2 linked regions of the Callithrix jacchus genome follow. The protein of the gene in region 1 interacts with the protein of each later gene in a pairwise test. Links are inferred from orthologs where the notes say so. Each region holds a gene or a part of one and is shown on either strand. Other genes may lie near its edges.

The links. The genes of interacting proteins can lie anywhere in the genome.
Region 2: the proteins of TOLLIP (region 1) and TOM1L1 interact in binary tests that used the Homo sapiens proteins (3 or more experiments, as listed by UniProt). The link is inferred for Callithrix jacchus from reciprocal best matches to the Homo sapiens genes TOLLIP and TOM1L1.

The regions. Positions count from the first base shown.
Region 1 is NC_133511.1:130,590,739-130,599,214, reverse strand, and holds the start of TOLLIP (toll-interacting protein), read right to left. Parts: upstream 5,614-8,476; 5' UTR 5,480-5,613; coding exon 5,447-5,479; intron 5,385-5,446; exon of another isoform or gene 5,194-5,384; intron 1-5,193. UniProt on the Homo sapiens protein: Component of the signaling pathway of IL-1 and Toll-like receptors. Inhibits cell activation by microbial products. Recruits IRAK1 to the IL-1 receptor complex. Inhibits IRAK1 phosphorylation and kinase activity.
Region 2 is NC_133506.1:111,246,834-111,254,005, forward strand, and holds the end of TOM1L1 (TOM1-like protein 1), read right to left. Parts: intron 3,666-7,172; coding exon 3,604-3,665; intron 3,111-3,603; coding exon 2,955-3,110; coding exon of another isoform or gene 2,863-2,954; 3' UTR 2,279-2,862; downstream 1-2,278. Other genes in the region: COX11 (cytochrome c oxidase assembly protein COX11, mitochondrial), read left to right, coding at 817-942, 1,318-1,500. UniProt on the Homo sapiens protein: Probable adapter protein involved in signaling pathways. Interacts with the SH2 and SH3 domains of various signaling proteins when it is phosphorylated. May promote FYN activation, possibly by disrupting intramolecular SH3-dependent interactions.

The DNA of each region.
Region 1 (8,476 bases):
GAAGGACTCCCTAAGCATTTAGCTTGCCTTTCCTTCACAAATTCTATTTCAGGACAACTGGCCGACACCGGTTGATGGGAAGCTTTATCTCTACAAACAGTCCCAGTTACTAAGCACTGAACAGATGATAAAGTTCAGGGACTGCCCTCTGCCATCCCTAGTGAAGTCACTGATTCGGCAGGAATCACCGACGAAGTGAAGAGGCGGGCAGCCCGGGCAGGCAGAGGCCTCTCAGGGAGGAGAGGAGGGGCCGGCCGCCCCCAGCTGGACTCCACGGTCAGCCAGCACCTCTGAAAGCAGGACAAGGAGTCGGAGCAGCCTGGATCCAGCACAGCACACCCACCTCTACTCCACCAAGCAGGCCTCTCCAGCTGCCCGCGCAGCAGCGGCTGAGGCAGAGTCTCCCACCAACACCCTGAGTTCTCCCTGCAGAAGGCGGGGCCGCCAGCCCAGAGTTCGCACTGGAGTTCTCACTGCCCGGGTCCTCACTGGGGAAGGCACAGCCACCAGCCCGGAGTTCTCACTGGAGTTCTCACTGCCCGGGTCCTCACTGGGGAAGGCGCGGCCGCCGGCCCGGAGTTCTCACTGGAGTTCTCACTGCCCGGGTCCTCACTGGGGAAGGCGCGGCCGCCGGCCCGGAGTTCTCACTGGAGTTCTCACTGCCCGGGTCCTCACTGGGGAAGGCGCGGCCGCCGGCCCGGAGTTCTCACTGGAGTTCTCACTGCCCGGGTCCTCACTGGGGAAGGCGCGGCCGCCGGCCCGGAGTTCTCACTGGAGTTCTCACTGCCCGGGTCCTCACTGGGGAAGGCGCGGCCGCCGGCCCGGAGTTCTCACTGGAGTTCTCACTGCCCGGGTCCTCACTGGGGAAGGCGCGGCCGCCGGCCCGGAGTTCTCACTGGAGTTCTCACTGCCCGGGTCCTCACTGGGGAAGGCGCGGCCGCCGGCCCGGAGTTCTCACTGGAGTTCTCACTGCCCGGGTCCTCACTGGGGAAGGCGCGGCCGCCGGCCCGGAGTTCTCACTGGAGTTCTCACTGCCCGGGTCCTCACTGGGGAAGGCGCGGCCGCCGGCCCGGAGTTCTCACTGGAGTTCTCACTGCCCGGGTCCTCACTGGGGAAGGCGCGGCCGCCGGCCTGGAGTTCTCACTGGAGTTCTCACTGCCCGGGTCCTCACTGGGGAAGGCGCGGCCGCACAGTACTCCTTGCAGGCACTCACTGATGCTTTCTGACAATGTGCAGACTGTATTGAAAAAGGGTTATCTTTCCAAAATACTGGCATTTCTGAAAAGTGAGGCAAACGCTGCACAGGCTGAAGCATCCCTCAGTGGCTATCGGGGAAACGCAATCCTGGAGATACAAACACTGCACGAACTCTTTCAGAACGATAGGTCGTCTCCACACCTACCTGCTGGGCCCTGAAGTTCCTTCTACCCAAGGACAAAAGAACCCTCCCAGGCCCCCATGAGCAGCCCCTCTGCTCCTTCACGACCCACGGGACCTTGCTGTCACCCCTTCACTAGGTGGAGGCAGCGAGTAGATTGCAGTCAAGGTCTCCTGAGCCAGAGCCTGCCCTGGGCCCTGGGCCCTGGGAAGCACCTCTTTGTGCTGGAAAGCCAAGCACCCTGCAAACCTCCTGCCTCCCCGGCGCCACGAGTTAAGATAAAGAAGAAGACACGATAAATGTCGTGTCAATACGTCCTGCAAAAGCAGGAGTTCCTCCAGATGCTAATAACTGGCCGGAGGCCCAGCATGAGCTCATCCAGAGGGGCTGGATGGGTCATGTTTGGTGAGGCAGGCCAGAGCCAAGGCAGGCCCTGCAGTGGGCATGTGCGGGCAACACTTCACAGAGAGTGCTGCACTGACCTGATGAACTCAGGGCCAAGTCCAGCCTTCCTGTGCCCAAGACCCTCCTGCCGCCACCAGCCCCGGCCTCCCTCCATTCTCGGCCCCTGAAGCGCCCTCCTCTCCACCTCCCTCCATCCTCAGCCCCTGGGCTCCCTCCTCTCCACCTCCAGACTCCACACTTCTTTCTGTGCAGTCCCCTCTCGGCCCACCCCCGACTCACATTCCTCCTCCAAGCTCAGATGAGGTGTCACATCCTCACCCCAACATCCAGCCCCAGTGAGGCCACTGTTTACAAACTCTCCCAGCACCTGACCCTGGAGTTAAGATCAACAGACCTGCCAGCTGCCATCATGTGGTTCCACTGTCCTTATGCACTGCCCTGTGAGATCCCAATGGCAGGAACCACCTGGCTGTCCCCTGTACTGTGGCTGCCCTTTGTGGCTGTCCTAAACACCAGTCAGTAATGCTGGTTGATTAAGTCACACGCACTCCAAACAGCACTTGGACCCCCAGTGCTGACAACACCTTCCTGGAGACCCTGGCAGCTTGAGCCACACCTGATGTCACTGGGTGTTTACAGGTCAACGGGGGTGCCCCTGAAAGACCTGCTTGTCTACAAAGGATAGAAACAGCCCAGGAGGCACCAGGCAAGAGGAGAGTCTGACGACACCTCGGTATGTGTCGGCACAGGCCCCGCGTGTATGAACACCGCCACTCCCACTTCCTCATCGCGGGCACCTCACAACAGGAAGGGCCTGCCTCCCAGCTGCTCCGTGGTGCTCAGCCCCTGCTGAATTCAAACTCAGTCCCACACCCCAGTGCAGTTCCAGACGAGGACAAGTTCCCAGGGGGCTGAGGACGCCTCCCTGACCACACAGTAAGGAAGCGGCCATCCTGCCCAGCCACTGTGCCCCCCACTCTCCAGGACACAAAGGGGGTGCTGGTTCCCTTGTTGCTATGAGCCTGTAGTGAGGCAGAAAGGAGCACCTCACTCAGAGCAGCCTGCAGGCACTCGCTGTGGTGCACTGAGGACGAAGCGGAGCTCACTCACGCCAGAGATGCCGTCCGGGACCTCTGCTGACCCACAGGCTCCACACCTGAGTCTCCTGTGTGTTAGGAGATTTCCTTCAAAGTCCTCAGAAAAATCCTCTGTGCCCAAAACCTGGGGCTTCATTCTAAACTCAGAAAAAATGTTCTGCCTGAAGAATTCTCTCATTAGGAGAAACAGCAGGACTTGTGGGGAGCCCGGGGAACCCTCCACCATGTCCAGTACCGGCTGCATGAGTGCAGGGACCCTACAGCATAGTGGAAAAGGACTTTTTCCACCCATGGCACGTTTAGAGCCGCTGTTGATAAAAACTGGACTGCTCCCAACAGCCCGCCCCAGCCCAGCCTCAGTGAGTGACACAGTTTAAATCTGTGTCCTGCCAAATCTCACGCTGAATCGTGATCCCCAGTGTTGGAGGCGGGGCCTGGTGGGGGGGGTGTGGGTCACGGGGGCAGATCCCTTGTGGCTCGGTGCTGTCCTGGTGACTGTGAGTTCTCACGAGATCTGGTCATTAAAAAGTATGTGGCAGCTCCCACCCCCAACTCTCTTACTGCTTCCGCCATATGACGCGCAGGCTCCCACTTGATCTTCCGCCATGGCTGGAAGCTTCCAGAGGCCTCCCCAGGAGCAGATGCCTGCGCTATGCTACCTGTAGTCTGCAGAACTCAGAGCTGATTAAAACTTCTATCTTGGAAATTACCCAGTCTCTGGTATTTCTTTACAGCAATGCACAAAGAACCTAACAGTGAGCTAGGAGGCACTCACACGAGGAGCCCACTCACGCCAGGAGGCACTCACACCAGGAGCCCACTCACGCCAGGAGGCACTCACACCAGGAGCCCACTCATGCCAAGAGCCCACTCACGCCAGGAGGCACTCACACCAGGAGCCCACTCATGCCAGGAGGCAGTCACACCAGGAGCCCACTCACACCAGAAGCCCACTCATGCCAGGAGGCACTCACACCAGGAGCCCACTCACGCCAGGAGGCACTCACACCAGGAGGCACTCACACCAGGAGCCCACTCATGCCAGGAGGCACTCACGCCAGGAGGCAGTCACGCCAGGAGCCCACTCACGCCAGGAACCCACTCACGCCAGGAGGCCACTCACACCGGGAACCCACTCACACCGGGAACCCACTCACACCAGGAGCCCACTCATGCCAGGAGCCCACTCACGCCAGGGGCCCATCGTCTCTGAGTCCATCTACAGCAGCTCTCCTGCAATATGAATGCTATAGAAACTGACAGGCAACCCTCAGGAGAGAATGAGGAGCAGGAAAGTTTCTTACGAATTCTTGGCACCTAACCTCTCATTTGCAAATGAAGAAACTGAGGCTTTACACGGCCACTAACTGGGAAACTGGGGACACAACTGCGCCCAAGAAGTGGTCACCACTGCTCTGTAGCGTAAGGGGGAAGGAGGAAACTGCCACCATCCATGGGACCAACCAGAGTGGAGGCCCACCTCCACCGCGGGGGCCATGAGGGTGCAGGGGCTGCCCCCATCTGGGGGACCATTAGGGTGCGGGCCCGCCTCCGCCTGGGAACCATGGGGCACAGGGCCGCCTCCATCTGGGGGACCATTAGGGTGCGGGGCCCTCCACCATTTGGGAGACATTAGAGCAAGGGCCGCCTCCATCTGGGGAACCATCGGGCACAGGGCCGCCTCCACCTGGGGAACCACGGGGCACAGGGCCGCCTCCACCTGGGGAACCGTGGGGCACAGGGCCGCCTCCATCTGGGGAACCACGGGGCACAGGGCCGCCTCCATCTGGGGAACCGTGGGGCACAGGGCCGCCTCCATCTGGGGAACCGTGGGGCACAGGGCCGCCTCCATCTGGGGACCGTGGGGCACAGGGCCGCCTCCATCTGGGGGACCGTGGGGCACAGGGCCGCCTCCATCTGGGGACCGTGGGGCACAGGGCCGCCTCCATCTGGGGGACCGTGGGGCACAGGGCCGCCTCCATCTGGGGGACCACGGGGCACAGGGCCGCCTCCATCTGGGGAACCACGGGGCACAGGGCCCGCCTCCATCTGGGGAACCACGGGGCACAGGGCCGCCTCCATCTGGGGAACCACGGGGCACAGGGCCGCCTCCATCTGGGGAACCGTGGGGCACAGGGCCCGCCTCCATCTGGGGAACCACGGGGCACAGGGCCGCCTCCATCTGGGGAACCGTGGGGCACAGGGCCGCCTCCATCTGGGGAACCACGGGGCACAGGGCCGCCTCCATCTGGGGAACCACGGGGCACAGGGCCGCCTCCATCTGAGGCTCACCCCGCGCGCAGGCCCCCTCACCTGGGGCCGCCTCCCCAACGCTCTGCCCGGGCGCGACGGGGAGTTCGAGCGTCCCGCAGCGCGGGCGCATCCGTCCGGCCCGCCCCGCCCCGAGTGACGACGCCGCCGCTCCCCTCCGGCCGGCCGGGCGCCCCGCGTGCCCTGGGGGAGCCAAGGAGCCCTCCTGCCCGCCGTCGCTGACCAGAAGCCCCGGCCCGAGGCCCCGCCCGCCGCAGGTGGCCGCCCCCGCCCGACCCTAGCCCTGCGGCCTCACCGGCCCGCGCTGAGTGCTGACGGTGGTCGCCATGGTGCTGCGGCCGGCCCTGGGCCTCGCCGACCCGACAATGACGCGCCGGGCGACCTCCTGCGCCCCCGCCGGAGCCTGCGACGGGGACGGTTGTCACCTCGAGGCCGCCGCCGCCGCCGCCGCCACAGTCAGCTGACAGCCGCCGCGCCCCTCCCCCGCGCCCCTCCCCACTGCGCAGGCGCCGCGCCACCAGGCACCGCCCCTTCCGGCTCGCGCGCGCACGCACGCTCCAGGGGCGGTCAAGCGCAGCCTCTCGCCCGGCGCCTGCGCACCCGCTTCTCTCCGAGCCCAGCCGGCCGGTCAATGGCTCCGGGCACGGCCGTCTGCGCATGCCCCGTCATGACAGCCGTCGGCGCAGGCCCAAGCATGGCGGCGCTGCGGTCTGGGCAGTGCGTTGGCTCCTCCTCGGGCGGGGTGAGCTGCGGACGTGCGATCCGCTCGGGGCCCGACAGCCCCTCCGGCGCGATCCTTGCCTCGGCTTCCTGCGCGAGGAAGGGCCTTTCTGGTCAAAAGTGCCAGAGAGAGGCCGGGCGCGGCCGCGCGCGCCAATAATCCCAGCACTGTGGGAGGCCGAGGCGGGCGGATCACGAGGTCAGAAGATCGAGACCATCTTGGCCAACATGGAGAAACCACGTCTCTACTAAAAATACAAAAATTAGCCGGGCGTGGTGGCGCGCGCCCGTAGTCCCAGCTACTCGGGAGGCTGAGGCAGGAGAATCGCTTGGACCCAGGAGGTGGAGGTTGCAGTGAGCCGAGATCGCGCCATTGCCCTCCAGCCTGGGCGACAGAGCGAGACTCCGTCTCAAAAAATAAGGCGGGGGGGTGGGGGGGAGCGGGGAGATGCCAAGTGCCACGAATGGTGGGCGCGGTACCTGCGCAGGTGCTGCTGCCAGGTGAACGGGACCGGGATGGAGGCCCTGCCAGAAGAGCCCGAGTTTAAGCCCGCCTTGCCCTCGGCCTCTGGCGTTTATGGTCAGCAGAACAGGTTAATAAGGTTTACCCAGCAGACCCGGGACTTGGGTCCTGATGTGCTGCTTTCTTAGGAACAAAAAGCATCCTGAGTTGAAGTTTCGCCTTAAAGAGGATGATGTAGATGCTTGGGCAGGACAGGCGTCAGGCAGCGCGAGCCCGGTGATGTTTTGGCTGTTCTCTTACCTATAAACAAGGGTCGTACCCAGGTGGACGCCTTCCTCCTCGTGCGTTTGCCAACACCCGGCCTGTCTGTGGAGTAGCCATTCTTTGATTCCTTCGCTGCCTTAATAAACTTGCTTTCACTTTACTCTGTGGACTGGCCCAAATTATTTCTTGCACGAGGTCCAAGAACCCTCTTTTGGGGTCTGGATCAGTACCCTTTTCCCGTAACACAACCAACTCCGCTAAAAGCTCTTGGGAAGGGGATCAGGGGTCTCTAAATTGTTAGTGGGCGAGTCGCAGTCTCGTCCTCCAGGCAGCAGACCAGAATGGATTGTCATTCCTGCTACCCACGCTTCACTCACTGTCCAGGACACATGTTCTCTCACTTTCATCTCAGAGGCCGCATCTTCAGGTCTCGCTTACCAGCCTCTCCTTTAGAAAGGGGCAGACTGGGCCGGGTGCGGTGGCTCAAGCGTGTAATCCCAGCACTTTGGGAGGCCGAGGCGGGTGGATCACGAGGTCAACAGATCGAGACCATCCTGGTCAACATGGTGAAACCCCGTCTCTACTAAAAATTACAAAAAGTTAGCTGGGCACGGTGGCGCGTGCCTGTAATCCCAGCTACTCAGGAGGCTGAGGCAGGAGAATTGCCTGAACCCAGGGGGCGGAGGTTGCGGTGAGCCGAGATTGCGCCATTGCACTCCAGCCTGGGTAACAAGAGCGAAACTCCGTCTCAAAAAAAAAAAAAAAAAAAAAGAAAGGGGCAGACTGGCTGCCTGCCTGTTTTGATGTGGTTTAGGGAAAAAGAACAAAGTCCCTGCCTCAAGTTGGACAGCTGAACTTCCAGCTAATCCATAGCCCAAGACCCAAGAAGCTGTGAACCCCAAGTTCCTGCTCTAGGGGCCTAGGAACTTCCCCAGGCCCCCACATGTGCAGTTAGACTTACACTTCAACTATTGTTACCCCTTCCTCATTTTCATGCTAAAAATCACGCCTATAGGGAGCGATTTGAAATACGAATGTTGCATGCGATGTGTGAAGCAGCATGCAAAGCTACTGAGAAGCGCTAGAGAAATCCTTCCTATCCATACCCTGACTGTTGGAAGCCAGTGCTCTGTGCCATGAAGAAAAATTAGCATTGAGACAAAGAATCTTTCAGCAACGCAATTTTTACCTTCTGGACTGCAGGAAGGGGACCCTCGCCAGCCATCGTGCCACGAGAGTATGATGAATAAAGGAAAACGTAAATTTATACTCACACATCTGGGGGTCGTCCTTACTGCTGTGTCTGATCTCTGTTGGTTGGAGCCAGACTCCACAATCTAAACTAAAATGTGATTGGCTACTAACTTCAAACTTTTTTAAACAGATAAAAGCAGTAGAGAGCTGGGACACGCCTGGGAGCACGTCCAACACAGATATCTTTATTACCCTAGAGTTCACAATATACATTTACAACTAACATAAAAGTCCTCTTTCAAATAAAACTATACTGCTTGATGAGCCATGCAATTACTTTATAATAACAACCTCATCCCAACTCTTCCTTCCCACCCCAGTATTATTGCTTTTTTTAATGTAATTATTGCATGATTACACTTACACTTAAACCATAATCATCAAATAAGTATACACACTAACAAACTGGAAAACCTAGAGAAAATGGATAAATTCCTGGGTGCATATAACCTGCCAAGATTGAATCAGGAAGAAAGAGAAAACCTGAACAGCCCAACAATAAGAAATGGGATTGACTCTATAATATCAAGTCTCCCAATTAAGAAAAGTCCAGGACCAGACGGCTTCACTACCAAATTCAACCAAATGTTCAAAGGAAAAAATAATGCCACTTCTCCTGAAACT
Region 2 (7,172 bases), on another chromosome or scaffold:
AGGGCCTTTGAAGTAATCGATAGTAAATAGTTATACTCCAGTGAGACTAAGTGAGACTGTCCTAAAAGCTTTCCTAAAATTTTAACCAACTGTAATCTTGGGAAGATTTTAACTGATACCTTATTAACTGACGATTAGCCAGTGGAGTTAATTTCAACTCATAATGGAAAAGCCTTATAAATATTAGTGCTTTCCCAGTTTAGTAAACATGACAATCTCTTTAATAATTAAAGATTTTATAGGTTATGATTATGAATATTATCCAATTACATGGTGGTATACAAGGTATTAGTGGCTGAATTGGTACAAGTGACAGAATATCCTTTGGAAATTTTAAGCTTTGCTATCTTCTTATTTTCTCCAAATAAAGTATTAACACTTGTTTGGCATAATAAAGGTTATAGTCAGTCAGTTTTATTATGGTTTTAAGGTAAGTTTAATGTTGATTTTTTTAAAATCTAGTCAATCGTGACTTTCAGGTATAAGTGTTACAGAAAGGTTGGGCTTGGGCTGTGATATGATTGGGTTGGACACATTTTAAATAATGTAATTTGCAGATTATTCCTTGAAGACTTCAAATATATAAGAGGACAATTCATAACTATAGATATTAGAACATTGGTTCTTCATTGACATATGCAAGTAAGTTTTAAAGTCAGATATGTTTGTGGGTAATACTCAGTTTATTTTGCTGAACCCTGCATCAGATTAGGTATTATGGTCTGATAAATGGGCAAAATAATTAGACTAATCTAGCAGGAAAAAGAGGGACTGTGTGAGATTTAAAGTATTGATAATTTATATCCTTTAAAACAGGTGGTTCCAGGAGAGACTGCACTGGCATTTTACAAAGCTAAGAATCCTACTGACAAACCAGTAATTGGAATTTCTACATACAATGTTGTTCCATTTGAAGCTGGACAGTATTTCAATAAAATACAGGTACAACAAAATGTAAACTTTACAAAATATGATAAAGGTACATGAAACTTAGTGTTTTAGTAGATCTTGTGGTTTCTGAAAACTAATTTCTTCTAAACATCAAGCTATTTTTCTTCATTATCTATACTTGCTATGCAGAGATTGAGAACCAAACCAAATGGATATCTGCTTCTAAGATTAGAATTTGTTTTTGATCCTTAAAGCAGAACTCATTGAGATGAAAAGATGCTCTTATTTTATCACAGAACTCTGTATTTAACAGTATGCTTATTAAAGTCAAGAAGTGTACTGGAATGATAAGTGAACTCTATTAGTTTCTGTTATGTAATATGAGAATAGAAATGTTATTAAACAAAATCTTCTTATAACTTCTAGTGCTTCTGTTTTGAAGAACAAAGGCTTAATCCCCAAGAGGAAGTAGATATGCCAGTGTTTTTCTACATTGATCCTGAATTTGCCGAAGATCCAAGAATGATTAAGGTTGATGTTATCACTCTTTCTTACACTTTTTTTGAAGCAAAAGAAGGGTACCAGTTGCCAGTTCCGGGATATAATTGAAGTCAGCAACTAAGTCTTCCTTCAAAGTTGTGGTTTTTGGGAAAATAATGTATCCTGTCTTCTCAGAGGAGAAATATTGTACAATAATTTGAAGCCTTATATTTTAAATAGCTATTTTTTTCTCAACTAATTTATTTCACTTAAAATTGAGAGAACAGGTTTAGCTTTTATCATAAGAAACCCACATGTCTAGCTAGAATGTATGACTGACTATTCAATCCCATACTGAAGAATTTGAAAGTGTTAAAACAAACCGCTTTGTTTTTTAAATATGGAGGCATGGACTTAATGGTTCGGCTTAAGTCCATGCCTTAATGGTTCCCTTCTAGATTATTAACTCTTCATAATTATAGCAATGAATCTGAGAAGGTTTTCAAAAATATATGCTCAGGGTTATTTGTTTCAAGTCATAGGCCAGTACTTCTGACCATGTTTATTATTATGTCTAAAAGAGTTGGTTGCTATTTTGAACAGTCAATATTTTAAAAGCTCAAAGTAGGAGTCACTAAGCCCTAACAGCTTGTCCAAAGATTTAAATTCTTATTTCAAATTTGACTTTTTGTCCTTTAAGATCTAGGGCTATTTTATATTCAGAATTCTGAATAATTACTTTGAAATTGTCCTATCATGAAATTGAAATAAAGTAAGTATATTTACTAGGCTGCTAGCTTTTACCATCATTATTACAAGTCCATGAATGTTAAAATGTACAGGTGGGATTGTGATGTACTGACATCAGAAGTTCTTCCGGGAACAAACTTTGTAAAAAAAAAAAAAATGTATTAAATTATTTTATTTTTCATCAAATGTAATACTTATTCTGAATATTTTCCAGTTGTCTGTGTTCCAAATAGAAATGTTAAGTTATAGTAAAAAGAGAGAAAAGACTATTTAGCATTACAAAGAATCAAAAAGCCCATCCATTGCAGAGTCTAGTGACCTGTTCAGGACACCTAAAATATAATTAAATGACAATCATCAAGGCTTTAACAATTTATAATTCTAAACCAGAGGATTATTTATAAAGAAGTGCAAATTGACTTTTACATTCAACTTTAGTTAAATGAAGGCACTCAGTATTTATGCTTCCAGAATAATACATTCAGTTTCTCACATTTTATGCTTTCATCTATTCAGAATTATTTTATAGTAAGATAATCTCTTATCCACAGCTGTGTGATGATTTGTAAATGTAGGAAGGCCTGTGAAACATATGACACTGCAGTTAAATTGGTTGCCTAAGGACTAAGTAATTTTTTTTCTGCTAAAGTTTTAAGTTGAGTATTTGTTCCAAACAAGTTCTGTTGAAATCTCACGCTGTTGTCAGGAATCACTGTTATCCTGGAACTGTTAGTCTTCTGTTTAAGCTTCATTATAGCAGAAATGTTCCACCATGGCTCTGACATGTTGGTAGGTAGGTATTGTCCAGGCCTCAAAGCTGCACAGTCTACTCTTTAGAGAGTTGGCATCTTTGATGTGGCTAGTGAGGTGATCGTCCTCTTTCTTCTAGAATAGAGAAGAAAATGTCCAGTATTCATCCTGTCCTTCTCTATCCCCATTTCTTGATAACTCTTGTACTTGTCTCTAGCGGGAGGCTGGAGAGCCACAGTCTAGCAGAAAAAAGGTAAGAATGTACTTCTTCCACAGGGGAGGGATAAGAGGAATAAATAAGTTTAATAGTTCATTGGTGACCGTTAAATAGTAAATACATGGGATCAGTAGTGCTGAAAATAGGAAAAACTCAAGACCTATTTGGAGGAGTAATAGTAAATGGGTCTACTGGTACCAGTTAACAAATATTAATGGCACATGAAAGACAAGTGCCTGACTTGTTCATCTATTTTTGTTAGCACTAATATTTCTATACCATAAAGTAACTAATGCATTCCCAAGCCTTATTATTTACAGATGACAGAAGCACAAAGAATGAATTTCATTAGTGAATAATGGCTCCCCATAATTTGAGTGATTCAGGGGAACTCATATTTCAAAGTGTCAGACTCAGATGGCCTTTACAAAATATAAATACTAAACATGTAAAGTGAAAATTATACTGAAATTATTTGTAATATGGAATTAAGCTGTGTAAGTTGAAGTTTTTACCTCAGTCAACATGATTCTGAGCTCCTTTGTGCTGGTGAGCGTCAATTTCTTCATAAATAGCTCTGAAACAAAGCCATCACAGCAAAAGGATTATATATCCATTTCAAAGTGCAATTTTGGTTTTTAATTGCCAGTACCATAATTAAAAATTGAGCTGTTTTGGAGTTCAGGCTACATATGAGTAAAAACAATCTCTGCCCTGAATTGTATATTCTAGTTTTCTTAAATTGTAATGTTACACTTCCCTTATTTTTTATTTATTTATTTATTTTTTGAGACAGAGTCTCACTCTTGTTGTCCAGGCTGGAGTACAATGGTGCTTTCTTGTCTCACTGCAACCTCTGCCTCCCAGGTTCAAATGATTCTCCTGCCTTAGCCTCCCAATTAGCTGGGATTACAGGCACATGCCACCATGCCCAGCTAATTTTTTTGTATTTTAAGTAGAGACGAGGTTTCACTATATTGGCCAGTCTGGTCTCGAACCCCTGACCTCAGGTGATCCACCCACCTTGGAGGGCCAGGATTACAGGTGTGAGCCATTGCGCCTGGCCTTAATATTGCAATTCCTGTGCCTTTTTTTTTTTTTAAGTTTTAAGATGGAGTTTTGCGCTTGTTGCCTAGGCTAGAGTGCAGTGGTGCAATCTGGGCTCACTGCCATCTCTGCCTCCTAGGTTCAAGCAGTTCTGCTTCAGCCTACTGAATAGCTGGAATTACAGGCATGTGCCACCATGCCCAGCTAATTTTGTATTTTTAGTAGAGAAGGGTTTTTTTTCATGTTGGTCAGGCTGGTCTTGAACTCCTGACCTCAGGTGATCTGCCTGCCTCGGTCTCGCAAAGTGCTGGGGTTACAAGGGTGAACCACCACTCCCAGCCTCCTATGCCAATTAAAAGTATGTATTTTATAGAACCAATTCATTTTTTCTTGTGATTTAAATGAAAAATATGGCTCAAATTTGGAGTTTACATTTTTACTTAAAAAACTCTTCAATTTCTTCTGGTTTCAAACATTAAAAAAAAATTACGCCAAGTACAGTGGCTCACACCTATAATTCCAGCACTCTGGGAGGCTGAGGTGGGTGGATTGCTTGAGTCCAGGCTGAGGTGGGAGGATCACTTGAGCCTAGGAGGCGGAGATTGCAGTGAGCTGAGACCGTGCCACTGCACTCTAGCCTGAGCTACAGAATGACACTCTTGTCTAAAATAATAATAATAATAATAATAATCTTCCAGCTTATTTAACTTATGTGATTAAAATACAGGCGCCTCAAGCCACCTATAGCTCATCACTCTCATTTCTGTGCTTTTCTTTATATTGTATTTTTTTTTTATGACATCCTTCATTCTTTTTTTGAACTCTGTCACCCAGGCTGGAATGCAGTGGTGCAGTCATGGCTACTGCAGCTTCAGCCTCCTAGGTTCAAATGATCCTCCCACTTCAGCCTCTTAAAATATTGGGATTAGAGGCATGAGCCACCATGCCTGACTCATTCAATTCTTTTTATGTATCTTACATATATCTGTAGCTGGAAAATATCTATACCTGAAACCACAACATTCATATACACAATATAGCAAAATATGGCTGAGGAAAAGCCTCAAAAATCACAGCACTATGAAACCATAATCACCAAGTTCATAAGGCCCCAGAATGGTCCTACAATTTTAATGTTTCCTTAAAAAGTCTGGTCTCTTATCTCCCTCAAAACGATGTCAGCCTTCTTCATTCTCCTCATACCTCTGACTTCTCTGGTAGAAACCTCATTCTTAATACATTAAATGTCTTGATATGAAAACTTCCTCATCTTCCCATCACTAAATCTTTAAGTTTCTTCATTTGTATTGTCCTTTATTTCTGTGATCCTATCTACTCCAGGCTTCTTAAGCACTTCACCCATTCAGTTATTCTCCCCTTCCTGAGTCTTCAGCCTCTCCTTCTGTGGCAGGTCCTATTCCTCGACTTTCACAGATTCTCCAACATCTCCCATATCTTCTATTTTATACAAAGTATGATCTTTAATTCTACCTCTACTTGTAGCAAATGCCTTGGTATCCTCTAGCTACCAACCCCTTTTTCTTTTTCTTTTCTTTTTTTCTTTTTTTTGAGACGGAGTTTTGCTCTTGTTGCCCAAGCTGGAGTGCAACAGTGTGATCCCAGCTCACTGCAACTTGCACCTCCTGGGTTCAAGCAATTCTCCTGTCTGCCTCCCGAGTAGCTGGAATTACAGGCACCATTTTTGGTAGAGACAGGGTTTCTCCATGCTGACCAGACTGGTCTCGAACTCCTGACCTCAGGCACTCTGCCCGCCTCAGCCTCCCAAAGTGCTGGGATTACAGGTGTGAGCCACTGTGCCCAACCCCAAACCTGATTTTATCATTGTTTCACATTTAAGTTCGTATCTGCACTTAACTGTCTCTACTTAATCTCTTCTGTGCTTTTCAAATGCACTGAAATTTGGCATCTGTCCCCATCAATCCATCAAATAGCTTTTACAGAAATCATCAGTGATCTCTACATAATCTGTTGTCTAGTTTTCAATTCTCATCTTACTTGTCTGCCCTTAGCACTGACTTTCACAGTTGTACTCATTCCTCTTTGCCTCCAAATACATTTTCCACATCTGGTTCTGAGCTCCCTGTTAACTTTTTTAACTCTTGGCTTTGGCATTTCTGTTTCCTTGAATGTGCCAGAACTCTTTCCTCTGGGTCTTGGTTGTTCCCTGGACCTACAATACTCATTTCCAGACTTTTAACTAAGAATTGCAGGTCTCAGCTTTAATGTTTCCTGAAGCTTTCTCTAATCCCCATTTAAGTTAGTTTTGTTATGCACTTTCAATTTGCCATGTTCTTTCATAACACTAACAAATTGTAAACATGTATTTGGTGATTTGTCTAATTTCTGTATCCATGCTACATTTAACCTCTATGAGGCCAAGGGAGCATGTTTCTTGTTTAAAATTATAAATTAGTCTAAAAATAGTCCCTGGCACATAATATTGAAATAAATGAATCTTGTGCATCTTCATAAACATACTCTTTGTCCTGGTAGAGGAAAAATTGTCAACCTGGGGTTCATGGACAACCAGTGATATGAAAAAAAACAGAAATTTCCTGCAAGATCCTGTGCTTTTCCTTGGAGGGAGTCCCTGAATTTCATGGGACTTCAAAAGAACTGAGACATTCTGACCACCAAAAGGAAGATCCATCACAATGATAGAGTTCCAAAGATTCACCTCTCCAGCTGTTTACTGTCTCTCCCACCTCCAGTATCTGTGACACTGCCATATCTATATATACCAATCTTTTAATTTGAGTGTAATCAAGAACTTTTTCACTACCTATTTGGATGGAGATAAAAACAAGTTTTTAGAAAGCACACCTAGTTTAGTGCCGGTTTCTTAAACCACTAATATGATCAGTGATAAGGTAGAAAAAAATACATAATGGAAAAGTATTAACATTTGTGCATAAACCATTGAGGGCTTAAATCAGGGACCAGAATATCAAATGTCTACACATGTCAGCCAAAGAGATGTAGAGGGTTCAGTGGGGCTGTGAAGCAGATAGGAAGG